4 linked regions of the Saccharomyces cerevisiae S288C genome follow. Changing the gene in region 4 together with the main gene of any one other region gives a genetic interaction. Each region holds a gene or a part of one and is shown on either strand. Other genes may lie near its edges. The genes, in order: HOT1, BUR2, RTR1 and SPT4.

Region 1 (6,057 bases), on a different chromosome or scaffold from region 4:
GTATTATATGCCATGCATCCTGCTTTCGTAATCATCAAATTCTGAAAATTGTTCGGGATCTCTCTCGTGATCATTTTCATCTTCGTTATCATTATCAACACTATCGAAAGATGCTTCATCAGTAATTAAATTTCTGCTCGTTCCAATAATTCGTCCGCTTATTGCTGATTTATCATTTTTCGAATGATGTTCATCGTCCGAGTAACTTGGTGGTAGCATAGGTAAGGAATCTAGATTAATTTCCTCATTGATGATCTTCTTTCCAGTGGGAGGGGACATAGTGAATTCAAATCCAGGTGGTGGCGGTAATATTTCACCGTTTCTTATAATTATATCATCATTGAGATTTGTAGTACTACCAGCCGCAATATTGTCGCTATCACCGTCTGAAAAATCTTCGTCGAAATCATTGTCTTCACCACCGCTTTCTAATAGGGTATCTTTACCGTAGTCTTCGTAAGAAGGAGGAGGTAATTTAATGCCGTTTGACTTTGCGTATCCCCATTTTTTAACGTTTGCTTCTATATAAACAAAGCCATAAGTGCCGAAATTCACATGAATTTGACAAGGTACGTTGGAGCCAATGATCGGGTATAGGTATTGGAATTTCCAGCCGCGGATATGACCACCAACAGATTTTTCATTTAGTTTTTTTCCGTTCCTGGTGAAAAATACTGTTCCACTACGTGACCTATAGCCAATGCCAACAATGTCTCCCTTTTCACACTGTGGAAATAACGTTCTTAATTGCTCATTTAGTTTGAAGGAGTCATTAAATCTTCTGGCGCCGTTAGAATCGTATGCTATCGAATGGTGGTGTCTTCCCGGTAACCTGAAATATGGATAAGGCTGTGTGGAAAGACCAAATGAGATGACACCTTTCGATACATTTTCATCACTGTTTAGTGGGCCATCCGTTTCAAATATCTTGAATTCACAATAATATACTTTATTTATACACGGAATGGGTAGATTTGTGGATATAGAAGCATCATAATTATAATTTAGAAAAGAAACCTCTGTTTTATTTTCCACTATGACAGTATGGTTTGGCATATCAGGATTTGGGCTAAACTCCCATGCATAAGCCCCCTCTTCTTGAATATATTGCCTTGTTTGCTCGTTCATAATAGGGTCTTCACGGGTGGTGTCTGGATTGCTATCTTCGGACTGTTGTAAAAGTCCCTGGTTAAGCAGAAATGGTGGGTTCTGCTTGATATACTCCTCACCTTGCTTATAATAAAACTGCTCTTCAGGTGACAACTGTGCCAGCTTATCTCTTACTTCATCAGCATCGTCAAGATTGTTGGGCCACCTTAAACTCATGTTTTCCATTAATCTTCTGCTATGAACGTGTGCATTATTTTCGTCATAATCGCTGAATAAAGATATTCTTTGGCCAGGGCCATGCTCATTATAATATGCAGTTATAAGCCGCGTAGCTATCTGTTTTGTAAAAAAATAAACGATACAGATGACGATGTAGACCACGATTAAGGTTCCAAACGCAAACAACATTATATCCATGTTAAGTTCGTCAGTATCGTCTCCCCCATAAGATACATCGCCACGGGGGATCACCGAAGATCTACCACACCGTATTTGTCCGCTTATCGAACCGAGAAGCAGCGATTCTATCAGAAACTTGAATGACATTTGCTTTTTTATATAGAAAAAAAATTTGGCTCTCCAAACTTTAAGATTTTTTATAATTATTAACCAATGACAATATAGATAACTTGAAACAACTCTTGAAAATTTTGTAGTTAGGCACCAGTCCTTTGGTTTTTCAATGTTCTATAAAAAATCACTCCTCCATGCAGCAGTAAAGCGCTATTCTCAAAAATAGCTCAACCTGAGAGAGGAAGAAAGAGCAGTAGTAAATAGAGCAAGGTTCTTAAAGCCTGTATCAATGAAATTTTGTTATGGCGTTTATATGGATAACCTGGAATTTGCCTTTTTTCTTTATAGCGCACCGTTCCGAAGAAAAAAATAAAAAAAAAGGGCCGACGGAGGGTTAGGTCAAATTAAATATTGAGCTAGGTTTAGTTATCTCTTTTTTAGGTTTTTTATATACAAAAAAGATTATATTTAGGGTACATATGGCTGGAGCATAATGTCTGGAATGGGTATTGCGATTCTTTGCATCGTACGTACAAAGATTTATAGGATAACCATCAGCTTCGATTATTCTACACTGATGAGCCCTTTCTTCTTATTCTTAATGATGCCCACTACATTAAAGGATGGGTACAGGATGAATAGTCAAGTAAATGAAGATGCTATAGGTATCAATCTTGACCTCTCACTGCCCACTCACATTTCGCCTACGACTGGTTCAGAGAGCGCCAGTGGCAGTAACGCCAGTACACTTCGCAACGATGGAAATGCACTAGATGGAGGTCTTTTGAGGACTTCAGCAGCGATTTCAGCACCCACAGGTACCAGTCAACCAACAGAAACTATTGGTGAAAAACTGAGTAATGAAGAGCGGGTGAACTCGAATGTTTCCGCTTCGAACTCGACAACGGCGGGTACAGGGCGTATGTTAAGCCAATCCTTGACTAATGATTCACCGTCGAACGAAATATCGACGGATCAGTTGAAGATTTTTCAAAGAATGGACGAAATGAGTGCCCGAATGATTGAGATGGAGGAAAGCTTCAACAAGTTATCTAATAAGATCGCGGAACAGAATACAATGGTTTTAAACCTAAAACAAGATAACTATAAAGTTATGAACAAATTGAATATATTACTTAAGTTGGTTGCGCAGCCAAGCGCGCGCCCAAGCACAAACAATGCCCAAAATAAGCTTGCTATCGAATTGCTAAATTCGATATCAGCCGTTAGTAGTGCTTACTTGCAGAAAATGCAGAATAATGGCTCTGGTAGACAGCATACTGCTGATTTATGTACAGGAGATTCCAACACCCATTCTGGTATCAACCAGCATCGGACTACGAATGGAACCATAGATGTGAATACGAATACTGCACAGCTAAACAACCAATTTTCTAACGCACTAAATACTATCTTACCTGATCAGCAGCATAATCGAAATAATGTTTCCCAAAATATAAACCAATCGCTCCCTAACCGACAACTTGGTCCTGTTATAAACACACAAGCCAATCAGAACCAGTCGCAGGTTTTAATTCATAACACAAATACACATCAGCAGGTAAATCGCTCGCCTATTAGTTTCCCGAACGCTTCAACTGACAAGCCATTCAAGTTGAACCCAAATGGGATTAAACGGCGCAGAAGAAATACGCAAAGTAACAACAATGCGAGCACAAATGACCATGCTAGTGCTGCACAAAAGCCCATATCAGCCCTATCTCCATTAACGAATTCTCATAATTCTACAACTAGCATGAATTATACCAATTCTTCCATTCATTCAGGCGTCACCAGTGCTTCAAATTCATTTCATGACTTAAATTCATTGAATAACTTTGGCACGACAACAGCTTTAAGTTTGCCCAGCTTAGCCCTAGATAACGCTTCTTTTCCCCCAAATCAAAATGTTATACCCCCTATTATAAATAATACCCAGCAGCCTCTATCATTTTCCCAATTGATCAATCAGGATAGCACGACATCTGAATTGTTACCGAGTGGTAAGTCAGGGGTGAACACGAATATTGTAAATAGAAACAGAGCTTCTACTCTACCGTCGTACCCAAAACCAATGACAGTGAAAAGTAATGTCGACGATGATGGCTATCAAGAGGATGATGATGATGACGGTGATGACGAAGGTGATGGAAGGGATAATGAAGAAGACAGCACTGCTGAGGAAGATGAAGTAGATGATGAAATCGAAACAGATATGAAGAACGCTTCGATTAACAAGCGGAGGAGGAGCTTGCATCATAAAAAAAGTAACTCTTTAAACGGTAGAAGAAAGCTTCACGGCGAGTCGGCTACTAAGCCCAACATAAACTCTGATTTACATTATAGGATATTGAAGGCTCCCACTGACGTAAAGACTATATGGGAAGAGTATGATACTGGAATAAGAGGAAAGCCATCGATCAAGCATCTTGAGGCCAAGTATGGTAACAAGTGGAGGCTCAATAAAAATAAGAAGACCTTTTCAAGGCGAAAAAGATTGTACAAGTTCATTCTGAACGGTATGGAGAGAGGTAAAACGGCACAAGAGATGATAGAAACCTTAGAGAACAAAAGGCTATATAAAGATGATGAGGATGGCGAAGTAAAGAAAAGAACCATTGGCTGGTTGCAAGAGAGCCTTGCTGGAATATAGGCACGTACGATAGTAAATAATCGTTTACAATCATAGGAAGGAAGGAAAAAACAAGTGTAACATAAATACATTCTGTAAATCTACAAAAATCGTTAGTGCTGTTTTCTTTTTGAGATTGAAAAGTACGAATCATACACATCTCTTATTCTGAGAAGGGTGCATATGACGTAAATCAATGCGTACAAAGCGGTTTCCGGTGCTGGCCTGGCCCACCACAGTTTTGGCGTGGTTGATTTTAAAAACCTTCGGGAAGGTGAAAAAACCACTCCGAAGGTTCGAGGATGACAAATCGCCCCTTAGCTGTGGCCATACAAGCTTGGCACCGACGAAAAAGGGAAAAAGGAAAAGAATGTCGTACAAGAACTCTTACAACCACGTTGAGATTTCATTTAACAACGCCCCCCTTTCCATTATATAAGAAGGCATTAATTTTTATGTAATAAAAAAAGAATTTCTCGAAAATGTCTTACAATTAATTTTTTCTTTTGTAGAGTAGGGCTTTAATAGACTGATATATACGGTATTATAAGTGAACGAAAAAAACAGCAATGGGTTTATTTGATAAAGTGAAGCAATTTGCTAACAGCAATAATAACAACAATGATTCTGGCAATAACAATCAAGGCGATTATGTTACCAAAGCTGAGAATATGATCGGCGAAGATAGAGTCAATCAATTCAAAAGCAAAATCGGAGAGGACAGATTTGATAAGATGGAGTCCAAGGTTCGTCAACAATTTTCTAATACCTCTATAAATGACAACGACTCCAACAACAACGACTCATATGGTTCTAATAACAACGATTCATATGGTTCTAACAACAATGATTCATATGGCTCTAACAACAATGATTCATATGGCTCCAACAACAATGATTCATATGGCTCTAACAACGATGATTCCTACGGTTCTTCCAACAAGAAGAAGAGCTCTTATGGTTCTAACAATGACGATTCGTACGGCTCCAGCAACAACAATGACTCTTACGGTTCCAACAACAATGACTCTTACGGTTCCAACAACAATGACTCTTACGGTTCCAACAATGACGACTCTTACGGTTCGTCAAACAAGAATAAGAGCTCTTACGGTTCCAACAATGACGATTCTTATGGCTCTAACAATGATGATTCATATGGTTCTTCCAACAAGAAGAAGAGTTCTTATGGTTCCAGCAACAACGATTCGTATGGTTCTAACAACGATGATTCATATGGTTCTAACAACAATGATTCATATGGCTCTAACAACGATGATTCCTACGGTTCTTCCAACAAGAAGAAGAGCTCTTATGGTTCTAACAATGACGATTCGTACGGCTCCAGCAACAACAATGACTCTTACGGTTCCAACAATGACGACTCTTACGGTTCGTCAAACAAGAATAAGAGCTCTTACGGTTCTTCTAGCAACGATGATTCTTACGGATCTTCCAATAACGACGACTCTTACGGTTCTTCCAACAAGAAGAAGAGTTCTTATGGTTCCAACAATGACGATTCTTATGGCTCTAACAATGATGATTCATATGGTTCTTCCAACAAGAAGAAGAGTTCTTATGGTTCCAGCAACAACGATTCGTATGGTTCTAACAACGATGATTCCTACGGTTCTTCTAACAAAAAGAAGAGTTCTTATGGTTCCAACAACGATGATTCATACGGCTCCAGCAACAACAATGACTCTTACGGTTCCAACAATGACGACTCTTACGGTTCCTCTAATAGAAACAAGAACTCCTATGGGTCTTCCAACTACGGTTCATCCAACAATGATGAC
Region 2 (5,137 bases), on a different chromosome or scaffold from region 4:
CACAAAACTGGTATAGCAGCGAATTCGCATATGAAATGCAGTAGCTGAACCTGTCCATTGCCACAAAAGTTCTATTTACTAAATTTGAATGAAGTGCCCCGGCACTATAGAGAATTTTTCTGTCAAATTTTTATTGGGCGTAAAGGTTTGCGCTGTCACAGAGAAGACGATTTACCCATGATTATGTTACTACTCATCTCCAACAGGAGGAAATACAAACAAAATTGTACATATATGCCCTATTTATTGATCATAGTCACAAATTGTCGGCTCACGTATAATGAATAAAGACGTCGACTATCAAACTTTTAAAAAAAGTTTAAGAAAAGAATTTAAAAAAGCTGTGAAGACTATCCTAAATTTACAAGCATATAATGGTGATTTGATAAGGGACTTTTTGGCTCTTTATATTCCGTACCATGTAGTTTTTTATAATCTTTCGATCATGAAAAAAGGTTCACCATTAAGGATTCAAACCAATAACCTTCTGAAAGAAGCGCTGGCCAAAATTTTAAACTTTAATCTTGCGATGGGTCCAAAACATATCATCAAGATAATGAAGAAAGATAAAGCCGATCCAGAGACAATGAATAAATTAAAACTGGTACTATATATAAAATTATTTCAAGGAGTATTTGGTCATGTAGATAAAAATTATAACCTCGCATTTCAATCTTTTCGCTGGTGCTTACAATTCATTGCGTACTCAAAAAGGACAAGACTATTTGCAAGTATCGCAGACGAGCAAATTGGAGCTTTTTATGAACTTTGCGAACTATTTATATCCATGTTGTGTTGCCACTGTTTTCTAATTGATTTGAAAGAAAATGAAGCATTGGTAGGCAATAATCTAAAAAATTTTATCAAAAGACAAAACCCTAATTATTCCCATGGCTTCGATTTAAATGAGGAGACCAAGTCACTTCAATGGCACTGGTCACTCGACGAGGTAGATGTTATTGAGGCGTTATACTGCGTCGCTTTCGATGCGATGGATAAGATAACGCTTAAATTTTCAAAGGTCAATGAAAATTTTGTTTTTAGTCAGTTTTTTCAGTATTGTGCAGAAATCGAAGAAATGTTAGCCATTCTGAGAGGAAAAATTTGGGAGTGTGAATGTGATGTGTTCGGTCCCAGAATCGGACTATTAGTAGATAGTAACCACATGAATGAAACAATTCAAAAAAATATTCTGTCAATAACTTTCAAACTTAAAAATGACCCTCAGATTATATGCTGCTTGAATAAAATTCTGGAAGGCTTATTACTTTCATCAGGTGTTCAATTTAAAGTTATCCAGTTTTTTTATGTATTAAAACTATACTATATGCAAGATAATGAATACACATTCGAAGCATCATCTGAAATGGATAAATTGACCATAGAATGCTTATGTATCATCGAAAATATTATTGATGCTTGTGACAATCCTGATGAAGTAACTGACTACCAACTACCTAAGGTACTGTTGACTGCTATGGAGGGGAAATTACTTGTTGCTGAAAAAATATCCGAAGATAATGACTGTTCAGAATCTCTGGACGATTATCATCCCCGAACTTACCAATTCAGACATCCCAGAATAATAATAGACAAGATGAAAACAAAATTGAAGCAGAAACTGCGCTTTGACTCACCTAAAGATCCAGAAACAGATGATCATTGGATTGAGTATTGGAAATATTGCTATCAGGATAACATAGGGAACTTGCCGGACATTTTGTCACGTATATATCAAACCTTTACTGATCCCTCCAATTAAACATAACTTGTACTCTATTTTTATATTTTAGGTTTTTTGGCATCTGGGGTTCTTATAGGATCTTTAGCCTTTCTCTTCATACTTTCTTGTTTAGCCTTATCTAGTAAATCTTTAACCCTTGTTTCAATATGATTCAAAAACTCTTCCTTCACCTCACCGGATTTAATCAACTCGTAGTTAAACGGATCAGAGATTTCTGAAACTTCATTTTCCACATCGCCACTTTCGTCAATCACCGAATCAATCATGCTTGAATCAATTTGTAATTTAGCACCTTTATTACTTTTTAAGTTGAAAAAATTCTCTTCCAGTAACTTGTAATCGGTAAAGATATTGGCAAAATTTTCCGGCGTTACTTCGATAGGGAATCTATCCTTGAAGAAGTTTTTCGGATATCTGAAATCTTTGTCTACAAGCTTTTTATACTCTAAACCACAGTATATGAGAGATAGTACAATGAACGTATAACCGTCGCACAATAAAGAAACTGGCTGGGTGACAGCTTGGACCATAAAATTTCTTGATTCTTGAAGAATTTTTGGAAAAGCTTTTTTAAAGTTTTCTGGCAGATTGTGATCCCTGTTGAATCTATAATAGCCACTGAACACTTCTTCAATCAATTCTTTTGGATTACTGATATTTAAGTCAAAGCCAAATAAACATAGTATTTTTTTTTCATTCGTCACTAACTTATCTCTAAATTCCCATTTAAGTTTATCAATATTTGTTCGACTTTTTAAAGACGGTATATTTTGCATCAAAAACTCACAAGTCGCCTTAATATAGGCCTCTATAGGCCTATTATTCTCCATTGTTTTGCAAGCGGTGACCAGAATTCCCTGTGATATATGAATACATTCAGTTATGGCTGTAGGTATTCCATATATGAACCAATACCTGTAAAATAGAATGCATGATGCCGTATAGGTGTGATCAAAAAGATTTAATTTTTTTTTAAGTGTGTAAAAGTACATTAAGCATTTTTCCATATTTTTTTTTATTTCCACTGCTATCGGTCCATTAGTGCCTATCTTTTCAATAATATCTTTGCACTCAAAAACCCACTGGTTTTCTGGTGTTTCTATCAAATCCGGCCATAGGGTCCTTGCGTTAAACCCACTCGATGCTGGTGGTGGTGATGCATTGCTCGTTGGTTTTGGTACAGCTTGAAATTTTTTCACGTCACCACTTGAAGATGTAGCAGACATTATCTTACTGTAATATATTTTAAACGAAAATACTACGGCCTCCTTCAATATGTGTATATAATTACCAATCAAAATAGCTACTTGCTTTCTAACAGAAATAGTGATACTTTTTAATCACTTTTCTTTTTTTACTGAACAGTGAAAAATAGAAGTCACAATGAGACCTAGGTCAAAAAGCCATAATGAATAGGGTTTGCAATAAAAAAGCTTTAAACGATAGGTCTGTTAAAGAGGATAAATAGGTTTATCATGTATCATTTGGTTTTTTGGGATAGGGCTTGGCAAAAACCATAACAGGGGAATGAGATTTTATATATAAATAGACAAGATAGATACTAAAATAGTGACGGATTCTCTCTAAATATTCGAGAAATTTTCAAAATTTTAGGGCAACGAACAGTTTAATTAACATAAAAATCATAGAGCAAAGAAAAAATGGCGGTTGCGATCAAAAAGGAGAAGACGAAATTTGCCCCCGTTAAGGAAGTTTTATCCGAGAAGGATCATGCTAATTATACTAAATTTCAGGATACATCGAAACTAGAATGGTTTTGCAGGACGTCAAATCACAAAAAGTTCAAGTCACATAGTTTATTAAAAGCAGTAAGAAATCCAACGGAAACAAGAATAGAGACACAAACTCTGTATTTTACGGATCTCACCAACGGCAAATGTGGATTAATTCAACTATTATATTCCAGTGTTATGGGCGGTATATACAAAGGTTTTCAGTTAAATTTCAAAATATTTAAAGCCAGCAGTGAGGAAAACTCTGAAGAAGACATTGATATATGGGAAAGCTTTAAAATTGATAATATCAAAGATTTTGATACGTTAAAAGTTGAATCGGACAATGTTACGTTTCACTTCGTACCTTTGGAAAATTCTTCCTCCAGTGGATTTGCTCAATTATTAATTAAGATAGATATTCCGAAGGGAAGTACAAGCTGTTTACTAAAAGATTTGAAGGTTGACATTACCGTAAATTTACAAGAAGGATTCATAATAAACCCGGACGGTTCCAATTATTACCTTGACAAGAGCATCAGCTTGGAAGAGTTAGCAAAAAGAGACTCTTCTAGTACGTCCAGAAAAATGATAAGACATGTTTTTGTTCCTAGAGGTTTTTGCAATGGTACCATCTCATACAAGAAAAACGATAAACCTGTGAAGCTGGACTTGAAGGACACGCCTATGTTGTATCTGGATGCTGTCCAGGGGCTAATACCCAATAAGGCGGCTAGTAAATGGAATTTTCTTTGTTTCAATGGTGAGAAGCGTTCGATGATGTGTATTGAATTCACCACAACAAAAGAATATGGCAGCACTACAGTGACTATATGGGCGGTTAGTGATAAGGACAAAATTTTGGAGGTCGGGTCAAGTGTAAATGATCATGCTGTTAAATTTCCATCTACAAAAGAGGATAAGCAAAATGGTTGGAAATATCCTACATCCATTTCATTTCCGCGTGGTTTTGAAGAATCTAATTTAAGATTAGTCAATAGGTACGATATAATGAGTGAGCTGCCCGCTTTCATTAGGTCTATTGCTGAAAATCTGGCAAACATGAAGCCATTCATTTACCAATTCTGCCAGAAGTCTAAATTCGATGACGATGAAGGAGTTTCCATCATTGAAAGTACATTTATCAATTGAAAAAAATGAAATTTGACTATACATATTTTCATCATTGCAAGAATATTATATCCATTTATAAGTAGGTAGGTGCATAGACGTATATACACATATATTATAGACTAATTGATAAATTTTTTTTTCATCTTCGAAGATAAGGGGTATTCCAGTTGGGCAATGCTATTTCTTGACCAAGATCTTGCTTTTGTTCCGGATGCTTGTAGACGAAAATTCTTATCAATTTGGATGGCTTGTAAGGTAAACCGTGCCCAATTATCGTGTCTCTAGGAAATGAAATTTTCTCTTCAGATTGTAAGCAGGCCAAACTCCATGCAAACTGGTATGAAAAAGAACATTCACTATAGTTGAAGATTGCTTCAATGCTATTTACGGGTTCGATTCTAAAGAGTAACCACGGCTTCGATATCTGATATGGAATAAAGTCATAACCGAGTAGAACTAAATCACCATTGATACAAACATCTGAATCTGTCCTGTCGATAGCTTTCAGTTCCAGGGGAAGATGTGT
Region 3 (4,878 bases), on a different chromosome or scaffold from region 4:
AGAATTCAACAATTTAAATTCTGGTGATTCCTTATACTTGATAAATTCTTCTTCCCATTCCTTCTGGTTCATAGGGGGCAAAGTACCTGTGACAGGTTTCCATTCGGTAATACTCAGCCCCGATTCTGTTAGTCTAGTCAACCCACCAAGAACAACAATACCAAATACCAAACCGGATGTACCTATTAACCAGTAAGCAACATTCTTCGAGGTCTTCAAACGTGATTCTATAGGGTTTGATTCTGAAGCAACATGTGGTTTAAAAACAGGGGAGGAGAGAGAAAATGGACGGATGCTCACAGTTTTCTTAAAATTATATAGTTGAGTCTTTCTGATTTGTTGTCTGATGGTAGAAATATTCCTTGAGGCCCCAATACTTTGCCAGGCCAAACGACTCGAGGTTCTCGTTAATAGCTTAGCTGCCTGCCTGCCCACTTCTATGTTTCTGAAAAGCATGACGTACAGTAGTTACAACTTCAGTGCTGTGCACTATTATATAATACAGTTCCAAGTTACAATAGGAAACTAAATAAACGATAAAGGAAAGATCAATAATTCAAAAGGCAAGAACTTATAAACTGCAAAACAATAGCTTTTTAGTAAGCAGGGTTTCTTTTTTGCTCCTTGCAATATACGAAATATCCGAAAGCCGTAAGCCGCGATAAATGCGGATCTTAGATTACCATATTCTTTTAGAAACCATTTTATAGCGAGCGACATTTTCAAGCGATCGTGGATTCTTGGAATCTTTCTGTCTTCTAATATCATTTAGGCTAGGAGGAGTACATTCAGCAGTTAAAGTAGTTTTTCTTTTCCGCATTGGCGATACACTTTCGGTCTCTATACGATTCTCTTTATTGTAATCAGAATGTAATGCAATTCTTGTAGACACGTCGACTTTACCCATACCGCCCGAGAGTAAACCTGGGACGTATTCTTCTTCAGTTACAACGGTATTGAAAGCTTGGTCTCTGAACCGTTGCTCTATCCGTTTGCTCCATTTGATTAAAATAAGATCTAGTGTAAATTTTGCCAACAATGCTAGTAAAAACACGGATGCCCCCATGAAGAGGATCCTAAATAGCGAAGGAAGGTAAGAAGGTTCCGATGATTTAAAAAGTGTTGGCCTCACCATTACAATAAAAAGGACAACGAATGCAGGTAAAGGCAATCCCAATCTATCTTCTAATTTGTGCGTTCTCGTAGAATAATCCTTGTATATTATATAATAGAACTTATCATATATCTGTGGGCGGATCCGATTGAATTTTGTGATGTAAGCATGCTTTGCCCAATCCACTAACACTTCACTCCCTACCACGCTTACCATCGGCCCACAAAGTATGTTAATGACGATTGATAATGTGGAACGTGGACTCCAGAAATTGATGCTTGTGTTCGATAATGAAGATGACCACGACTGGAGGTTCCTAAGGCCAGTTATTGACAATAATAAGGTCAACTTAAATCTTTCCACTACGTCTGCAATGGTTATTTGGAAAAATCCCTCCTTATCAAATTTCTTTAAAACCGATGATTTGATTTCTGCAAATTGCATGGATAGTAATAAAGTTAGCAAGGCATTGGAATACGAATTCACGGCTATGTTTAATGAAATGGCCTGGTAAACCAATACATAGCCGTGTATAGTCACATATGTCAAGCTCATTGACACTAACAAACATTTATGCAGTAATATCCGTTCCGAGTTTTTCCTAGAAAGCATAACCGTTAATAAGCTCTGGCCCAAACTTGCCAACATTTTGTCCGCCATTTCCAGTACACTGAATAGCATGTACAATTTCATCGTACTTTGCCGTTTTATCCTGTGATATAGTTTTGAGGTGTCTAGTTTGCTCAACAAAATGGATGAAATCACGATGATAAAAATCATACATCTCTCTTTATATTCTCTTGAAGTTATTCTATATCGAAAGGGTATTTTATTCTTATGCCCAGACCGTTGTTGCAGGCGATAATGCTGACGATAACTCTTGAATTGCTTTACATATCCCTTTATCAGTCGTATCGGTAATACAGTAAAGTAATACAAAAAACAGTCCAAGCTTGTTAAAAGTGCAAAGAGCATGAACTTTTCCAGGAACATTGGTATTCTTATCATGTTGAGTAATTGTTCCAATTCATAATCATCCTCATGTTCTTCTTCGCTTTTTGCAGCGCTACTTTCATCTTGCTCTTCAACAATATTGTGTCTATCTATAGTATTCCATAGGAAGGACCACTTTTTGTCTAATCGTGAAATTATATGTATAGCTGACGGCGCACTATTTCTTCTCAGTAAACGTTTTTTAGCTGTGTCCTTCGCTACTGCCGTATCCTTGTGTTGCATGGGAGTGCTGCTTTTTTTTTGGATTACTCGGTAGAATAATATATACACCTTATAGATCGATCAGGTCGATTCAGAGACAGCATCGTGATATTAAAAGTAACTAATTTTCTTATTTCATCTCTTTCCGATATTTTTGTCCGAAATAGGAATACTACAATACAAAATCAGCTGGCATCCAGAAGTGGTCAAAAGCAATGGAAAAGTGAAGAAAGAGACACATTGAGGAGCGAATTGAACAATTCATAAACATTCCCAGTCTAAAATATCTATACATCGGCATCTTAGTTTGAAAAATTAGGACGAAGTTAACAAGAATAAGAAATGGCGACGATTGAAGATATTAAGGAAACGGCGTTAATCCCTTTCCAAAAGCACAGGCAACTTTCCATGCATGAAGCAGAAGTTATAACTTTAGAGATTATAGGCTTATTATGTGATTCAGAATGCAAGGATGAGAAAACATTGAAATATTTGGGCCGATTTCTCACACCGGATATGTATCAAGACCTAGTAGATGAGAGGAATCTAAACAAAAGATGCGGATATCCTCTTTGCGGTAAATCGCCAGAAAGAATACGTGATCCATTTTCAATGAATGATACTACTAAGAAATTTTTATTAGAAAACAATCCGTATGCATATTTGTCGCACTATTGCAGTAAGTTCCATTTTAGATGTTCCCAATTTTATCAAGTGCAACTATCTGATGAAGCTTTATTTGCAAGAACAGGGGTTCACCTATTTGAAGATCCTGAACAGGACAAACACGATATAGATTTCAAAGTGACTTTGTTTGAAGAGTTGCTAAGAGAAAAGGCATCCGAAGAAGACATTAAATCATTGATATCCGGTCTCAAAAAGTTAGGATTAAATCCTGACAGTGGGACTACAGAAAAAGATGATACTGAGCTGGAAGATGATTTATCGAAGTGGTTGGCACAAATCAAAATTGTTGAGAATGATAATCCCAGCATTTTGGGTGATTTCACAAGGGAAGATTGACCGGCTATATCAATGCACCTAAATTCAGAACAGATTATGGACGTTTCATTGGCTGAAAATAGTTAATTCATCATCATAACTTAAAATACTTTACAGCGCCAGGACAAAAATACTGTTATTCGTGTATGTCAAAATGTGGTTCTCAATTTTCTACAATGTAGCGCTTTTATAACTTTGCTATAATTCACTTTGAGTCACCACGTAGCAATTCTTTACATACCTATTGGTTTCTCTGAAGGGCCATCCATATACGAAAGTGTTGCTTCAGAGTTTTGGTTCGAAAATCAACAAGTATTTAATGTGTTGAAGTATCGCGACGTTCCTTCCTTTTGGGCAATAACGGTAGAACTGGCCGTCCAGCATCGAATGGATACAATAGAAGGAAAATTTGGCAATTCAGAACAGTAGATATTTATCTAAGACGACCCAACAGCTAGGACGCTGCAAGAAGAATCGTTCACCTTCAATTTATTATTTGTTTAGCAAGACGAGAGTATGTGGGATTTTTGTGTGATAATTTAATGAAAGTTAGATAGGTGTCTGACTTCGATCTTTCGTTAAACTAATATTCTTAGTTTATAGAATACACTTGAAGCTCTCTTCGAGAACATAGGAAACCCACAGAAGGAAGTCGACACTTCTAGATAATAATATTGTCTCTTTTTTTTTTGTTTTGTATGTTATCAATAATTATCCTACTATTTAGTAAATCTTTTACGTTTCGGCATCCATGGAATTTGATAACCAATTCTCATCATGTATGTCATCTTCCTAGTTTGTGTAGAACGATATACTTATAAGTATATACTAGTCAATTCATGATTTTATTTGACCCTGTTAGTCCATCAATATACGCCATCTTTTTACTAATATATATAATGGCGTTAAAATACCGGTAAATCGTTCAATTGACTATAAGCAGTTTCTTCATTTGTAGAGAATGTGGATTTTGATGTAATTGTTGGGATTCCATTGTGATTAAGGTTATAATATTAGGTATGTAGATATACTAGAAGTTCTCCTCGAGGATTTAGGAATCCATAAAAGGGAATCTGCAATTCTACACAATTCTATAAATATTATTATCATCGTTTTATATGTTAATATTCATTGATCCTATTACATTATCAATCCTTGCGTTTCAGCTTCCACTAATTTAGATGACTATTTCTCATCATTTGCGTCATCTTCTAACACCGTATATGATAATATACTAGTAACGTAAATACTAGTTAGTAGATGTGTTGGAATAGAAATCAACTATCATCTACTAACTAGTATTTACATTACTAGTATATTATCATATACGGTGTTAGAAGATGACGCAAATGATGAGAAATAGTCATCTAAATTAGTGGAAGCTGAAACGCAAGGATTGATAATGTAATAGGATCAATGAATATAAACATATAAAACGGAATGAGGAATAATCGTAATATTAGTATGTAGAAATATAGATTCCATTTTGAGGATTCCTATATCCTCGAGGAGAACTTCTAGTATATTCTGTATACCTAATATTATAG
Region 4 (4,182 bases):
AAAAAATGTGTGAAATGAAAAAAAAAGTCGAAATATGAGATGCAAGGCTAAGTTTGATGATAGCCATTCCCAAAAATCTGCATGACTCTTACGGCTATAACATAACTATATATAAAGGCTCTACACCCACGAGCAATCGCCTTTTCATTTGTTTCAATTTTCAAAAAAGGACCGACACAAATCAATAGATAATGACAATTTCGAATAAATCGTGGAGGAGCTACTTCCCACATTTGAGAAAACTACCCGAAGATGATCAGTACTTATACTCAGACGATACTAACTCCAGTATCATAGCTGAAGAGGAGCTACATCATAGCGTAGATAAGTCCTCGAAGACAGACGTTACGGCAGAAACTACAGCTGTAGAACCTCATCCTCACAATTTAAGGCATGACTTGCCATATGAAGTGAGAGATGAAGCTGGGCGTAAATGGTGGAAATATTTTGATGAATTCGAGTATCGTGTTAATAAGGAATACAAGAAATCACGTAAGTGGTACGAGTTTTTGTATCCTAATCATACTACTCAAACCAAGGCTGAAAGACGGCTTCTTTACAAGCTAGACATTATTATTGCTTTATACTTTTTTATGTTATGTTGGTCCAAGTCAGTGGATTTGAATAACTACACTAACGCATATGTTTCCAATATGAAGGAAGATTTAAACATGAAAGGTAATGATTACGTTTACACTTCTACTATTGCTAATGTTGGTGCCATTGTCTTCCAATTACCATTTATGTATTTGTTACCAAGATTTCCCTCTCATATTATTTTGCCTGTAATGGACTTGGGCTGGACTTGGTTCACATTTGCATGTTATAGGGCAAACTCACTAGCCGAACTAAGGGCTTACAGATTTATTTTAAGTGCCTTTGGCGCTGCTTACTACCCAGTGTCCCAATATATACTAGGTTGTTGGTATGCCCCAGATGAAATTAATTCAAGAGTCTGTTTATTCTTTTGTGGGCAACAATTGGGTTCCGTGACTTCAGGACTTCTGCAAAGTCGCATATTCAAAAGTTTGAACGGCGTCCATGGTCTAGCAGGCTGGAGATGGATGTTTCTGATCGATGCCATTGCAATTTCTCTTCCCACGGCTATTATTGGTTTTTTTGTTATTCCCGGTGTACCATCTAAGTGTTACTCTTTATTTCTGACTGACGAAGAAATACGAATTGCAAGGGCCAGAAATAAGAGGAACCAAATCAAAGATGGTGTTGATAAAAGTAAGCTAGCCCCATTATGGAGCAGAAAACTTTGGAAGAAAGTATTTTGTACTCCAGCATTCTGGGTACTTGTTGTTTTTGATACATGTTCGTGGAATAACATGACTGCGTATAGTGGTTCATATACTTTGTGGTTAAAGTCTAATACAAAGTACTCCATTGCCCAAGTGAACAACCTGAGTGTTATACCCGCATGTTTAGGATTTGCGTATGTGATTTTTTGTGCCTTTGGTGCCGATTTATTTAGATGTAAGTGGATATTCATGGTTTTTGCTGCTATAATGAATACCGTTTCTTGTGCCTTACTTATCAAGTGGGATATTCCTTCGAAAGCTAAATGGTACGCTTTCTTCACCACGTATTTCAGTGTGGCCGCATCGCCTTGTCTATGGTCGTTTATTAATGACTTCTTAAGGTTTGATCCTCAGGTGAAGGCTATTACATGGATCGCCATTTATTCCTTCTCTCAATCCACTTACGCCTGGATTCCTACCTTGGCGTGGCCTACCGTGGAGTCACCACGTTTTAAGACTGGTTACACCGTGAGCTTAATTTTTGGTGCTATTTACGGTTTATGGACGTTTGTTGTACTTTTTTTTTACAAGAGAAACGAAAAGAAACATGCTCTAGGTAATGGTATCATCTTGTATGATAGTAATAAGGGTGAAGAGCTTCCAGAATTTGTAAAGAAAAATATGGAGGAAAGAGATGGTTACTACTATTTAAAGCGGTCCTCGTAGTCCAATTTACGTGAAGTAGATAGGTATATTACGCTTTAGACACCATACCTCAAATAAATATATTCATGTATATAATTTAATCATCTTCTATCTATAATTAATCTCGATGTTGATAAAGGTCACCTTATACGTTCTATGAGTGAAATCGAGTGAAAAAGTGAAATTTAAGAAAGGGCTCGAAGGATGTACTGTGTAATAATTACACCTGGCCACATTCAGTTTGGCAAAAGCGAACGAGGTACAGTGTAAGAGATGTCTAGTGAAAGAGCCTGTATGCTGTGTGGCATAGTGCAGACCACAAATGAGTTTAATAGAGATGGTTGTCCCAACTGTCAGGGTATTTTTGAAGAGGCAGGTGTTTCTACAATGGAATGTACGTCGCCTTCTTTCGAGGGCCTCGTAGGAATGTGTAAGCCTACTAAGTCGTGGGTAGCAAAGTGGCTGAGCGTAGATCATAGTATAGCTGGTATGTACGCCATCAAGGTCGATGGTAGACTACCAGCTGAGGTTGTGGAGCTGTTGCCTCACTACAAACCGAGGGATGGCAGTCAAGTTGAGTAAAACCTTCCGTTCTGATATCACATGTATAATAGTAATGAATTTTTTTTACTTTTTTTTTTTTTTAGTAAATATTCTAGCATATGAGTTTATGCTTTCATTTATTTAACGTTCTGCACTTTTGTTTTTGCTGGCAAACCCAATTTTTCTACCGTCCAGTAATTCAACTAAGGCTAAAAAGACTTTCATTAGAAAAAAAAGGTCCAAGGATAGGAAAATTTCAAGATAAAGTATGGCATTATGTTAAAGAGGTTAGCCAATCGTCAAAATGGTTTTGCGTCATTCTCGTGCAGCTCAGTCGGTCTGCGATATGGTAGGACTAATCCAAGTACAAAGAGAAGCTTTTCACTTTTTCAAAGTGTAGCGGACACGTTTTTAACAGTGCATGAAGCCTCACATATACCATGGATAGTGCTTGTTCCTTTGACTACTATGACCCTTAGAACCCTCGTGACGCTGCCATTCAGTATATGGCAGCGGAGGAGAATTTTGAAACAACAAGAACTGAGGAAATTAGTACAGCCAATAACGCCCATTATTAAACTTCGACTGGCAGCCGTTACTAATAAAAAGTCTAGAAATGCCGCCAGAATTAGCTCCAACGGTTCTTTCATGCCGTTACAACTACAGAATGCTGGCGTTTTGACACCAGAACAAATTACACTATTGGCAGTGAAAGAGACAAGAAAGAGGCAGAAAAAATTATTCAAGAAGTACAATGTACCCCTATGGAAAAATGCCTTACTGCCAATGGTGCAAATTCCTCTTTGGGTCACAGTCTCCATGGGCATCAGGACCCTAACAGAGACACAGCTTATAGAAAGTTTTTATCCTTCCTGGTTTTCCGCACTGGGTTTCAGTTCCTTTGATCTAAGCTCACCGCTAGTAGCAATGCCTCTACTAGCGCCCATTTTGGTGGGGACTCTGGCGGTATTAAACGTGGAACTCAATGGCCGACTGATGTTTAGCTCAAGTTTGTCATCGCAAGGTATAAAGACAATTTCAAGGAATTCGACAAGAGTCCAAGAGGCAATGACTAGTATACTGAACGTATCGAGACTCGGTTGTGTCGTTATGCTAGCAATGTCCTCACAGGCTCCATTCCTTCTTTCGCTCTATTGGATATCATCACAGCTATTCTCCCTGGTGCAAAATATCATATTAAATTGGATTTATCCTTACCAACGATGAGTGAAGCTGACGCATAGATAGGATATGTAATTCTACATCAGCTTGTAAATAAACAAAAATGACTTTCAATATCCTTCAACCGTTCCTGACTCTTTCCTGCTGACCCGTTTTTCCAAATTTCTCGTCGAACTTGAAATTGAAAAAAAAAAAAAAAAATTGAATGAGGACTCATTAAACAGATGATGCCGTAATAAATGCAATATATCTTGCTATTTAACTCTTTCTTTCTTTGAAAACCTTGACATACGTATTTAAATAATTGGCTGTCCCTGCCTCGAAGTATATTTCTCTTCTACTTTTATCTTAGCGATATCCCTAAGAGTTTAATCCTCCCAGGTCCATAACAAAAGAAGTCAAGTTCAATGACTGATTATATTTTGCCGGGTCCCAAGGCCTTATCTCAGTTCAGAGTCGATAATCTAATTAAAGATATAAACTCCTATACAAACAGTACTTCTGT

What was found.
Region 1: mutations in SPT4 (region 4) and HOT1 impair growth when combined (synthetic growth defect), as found in Saccharomyces cerevisiae (one study listed by BioGRID).
Region 2: mutations in SPT4 (region 4) and BUR2 are lethal when combined (synthetic lethality), as found in Saccharomyces cerevisiae (2 studies listed by BioGRID).
Region 3: mutations in SPT4 (region 4) and RTR1 are lethal when combined (synthetic lethality), as found in Saccharomyces cerevisiae (one study listed by BioGRID).

The regions. Positions count from the first base shown.
Region 1 is NC_001145.3:603,865-609,921, forward strand, and holds HOT1 (Hot1p), read left to right. Parts: upstream 1-2,116; coding exon 2,117-4,276; downstream 4,277-6,057. Other genes in the region: EAR1 (Ear1p), read right to left, coding at 4-1,656; DDR48 (DNA damage-responsive protein 48), read left to right, coding at 4,825-6,057. UniProt on the Saccharomyces cerevisiae protein: Required for a complete transcriptional response to osmotic stress, through recruitment of HOG1 followed by pol II recruitment to the promoters of GPD1 and other HOG-dependent genes.
Region 2 is NC_001144.5:587,187-592,323, reverse strand, and holds BUR2 (Bur2p), read right to left. Parts: upstream 2,971-5,137; coding exon 1,783-2,970; downstream 1-1,782. Other genes in the region: ADY4 (Ady4p), read left to right, coding at 281-1,762; YLR225C (uncharacterized protein), read left to right, coding at 3,406-4,629; UCC1 (Ucc1p), read right to left, coding at 4,751-5,137. UniProt on the Saccharomyces cerevisiae protein: Component of the BUR kinase complex involved in transcription regulation.
Region 3 is NC_001137.3:449,037-453,914, reverse strand, and holds RTR1 (RNA polymerase II subunit B1 CTD phosphatase RTR1), read left to right. Parts: upstream 1-2,671; coding exon 2,672-3,352; downstream 3,353-4,878. Other genes in the region: COX15 (Cox15p), read right to left, coding at 1-456; EMP65 (Emp65p), read right to left, coding at 680-2,350; YER138W-A (uncharacterized protein), read right to left, coding at 4,337-4,441. UniProt on the Saccharomyces cerevisiae protein: RNA polymerase II subunit B1 C-terminal domain (CTD) phosphatase that dephosphorylates 'Ser-5' of the CTD and regulates RNA polymerase II during the transition from 'Ser-5' to 'Ser-2' phosphorylation.
Region 4 is NC_001139.9:615,868-620,049, reverse strand, and holds SPT4 (transcription elongation factor SPT4), read left to right. Parts: upstream 1-2,225; coding exon 2,226-2,534; downstream 2,535-4,182. Other genes in the region: VHT1 (Vht1p), read left to right, coding at 192-1,973; membrane insertase COX18, read left to right, coding at 2,772-3,722; ADE6 (phosphoribosylformylglycinamidine synthase), read left to right, coding at 4,085-4,182.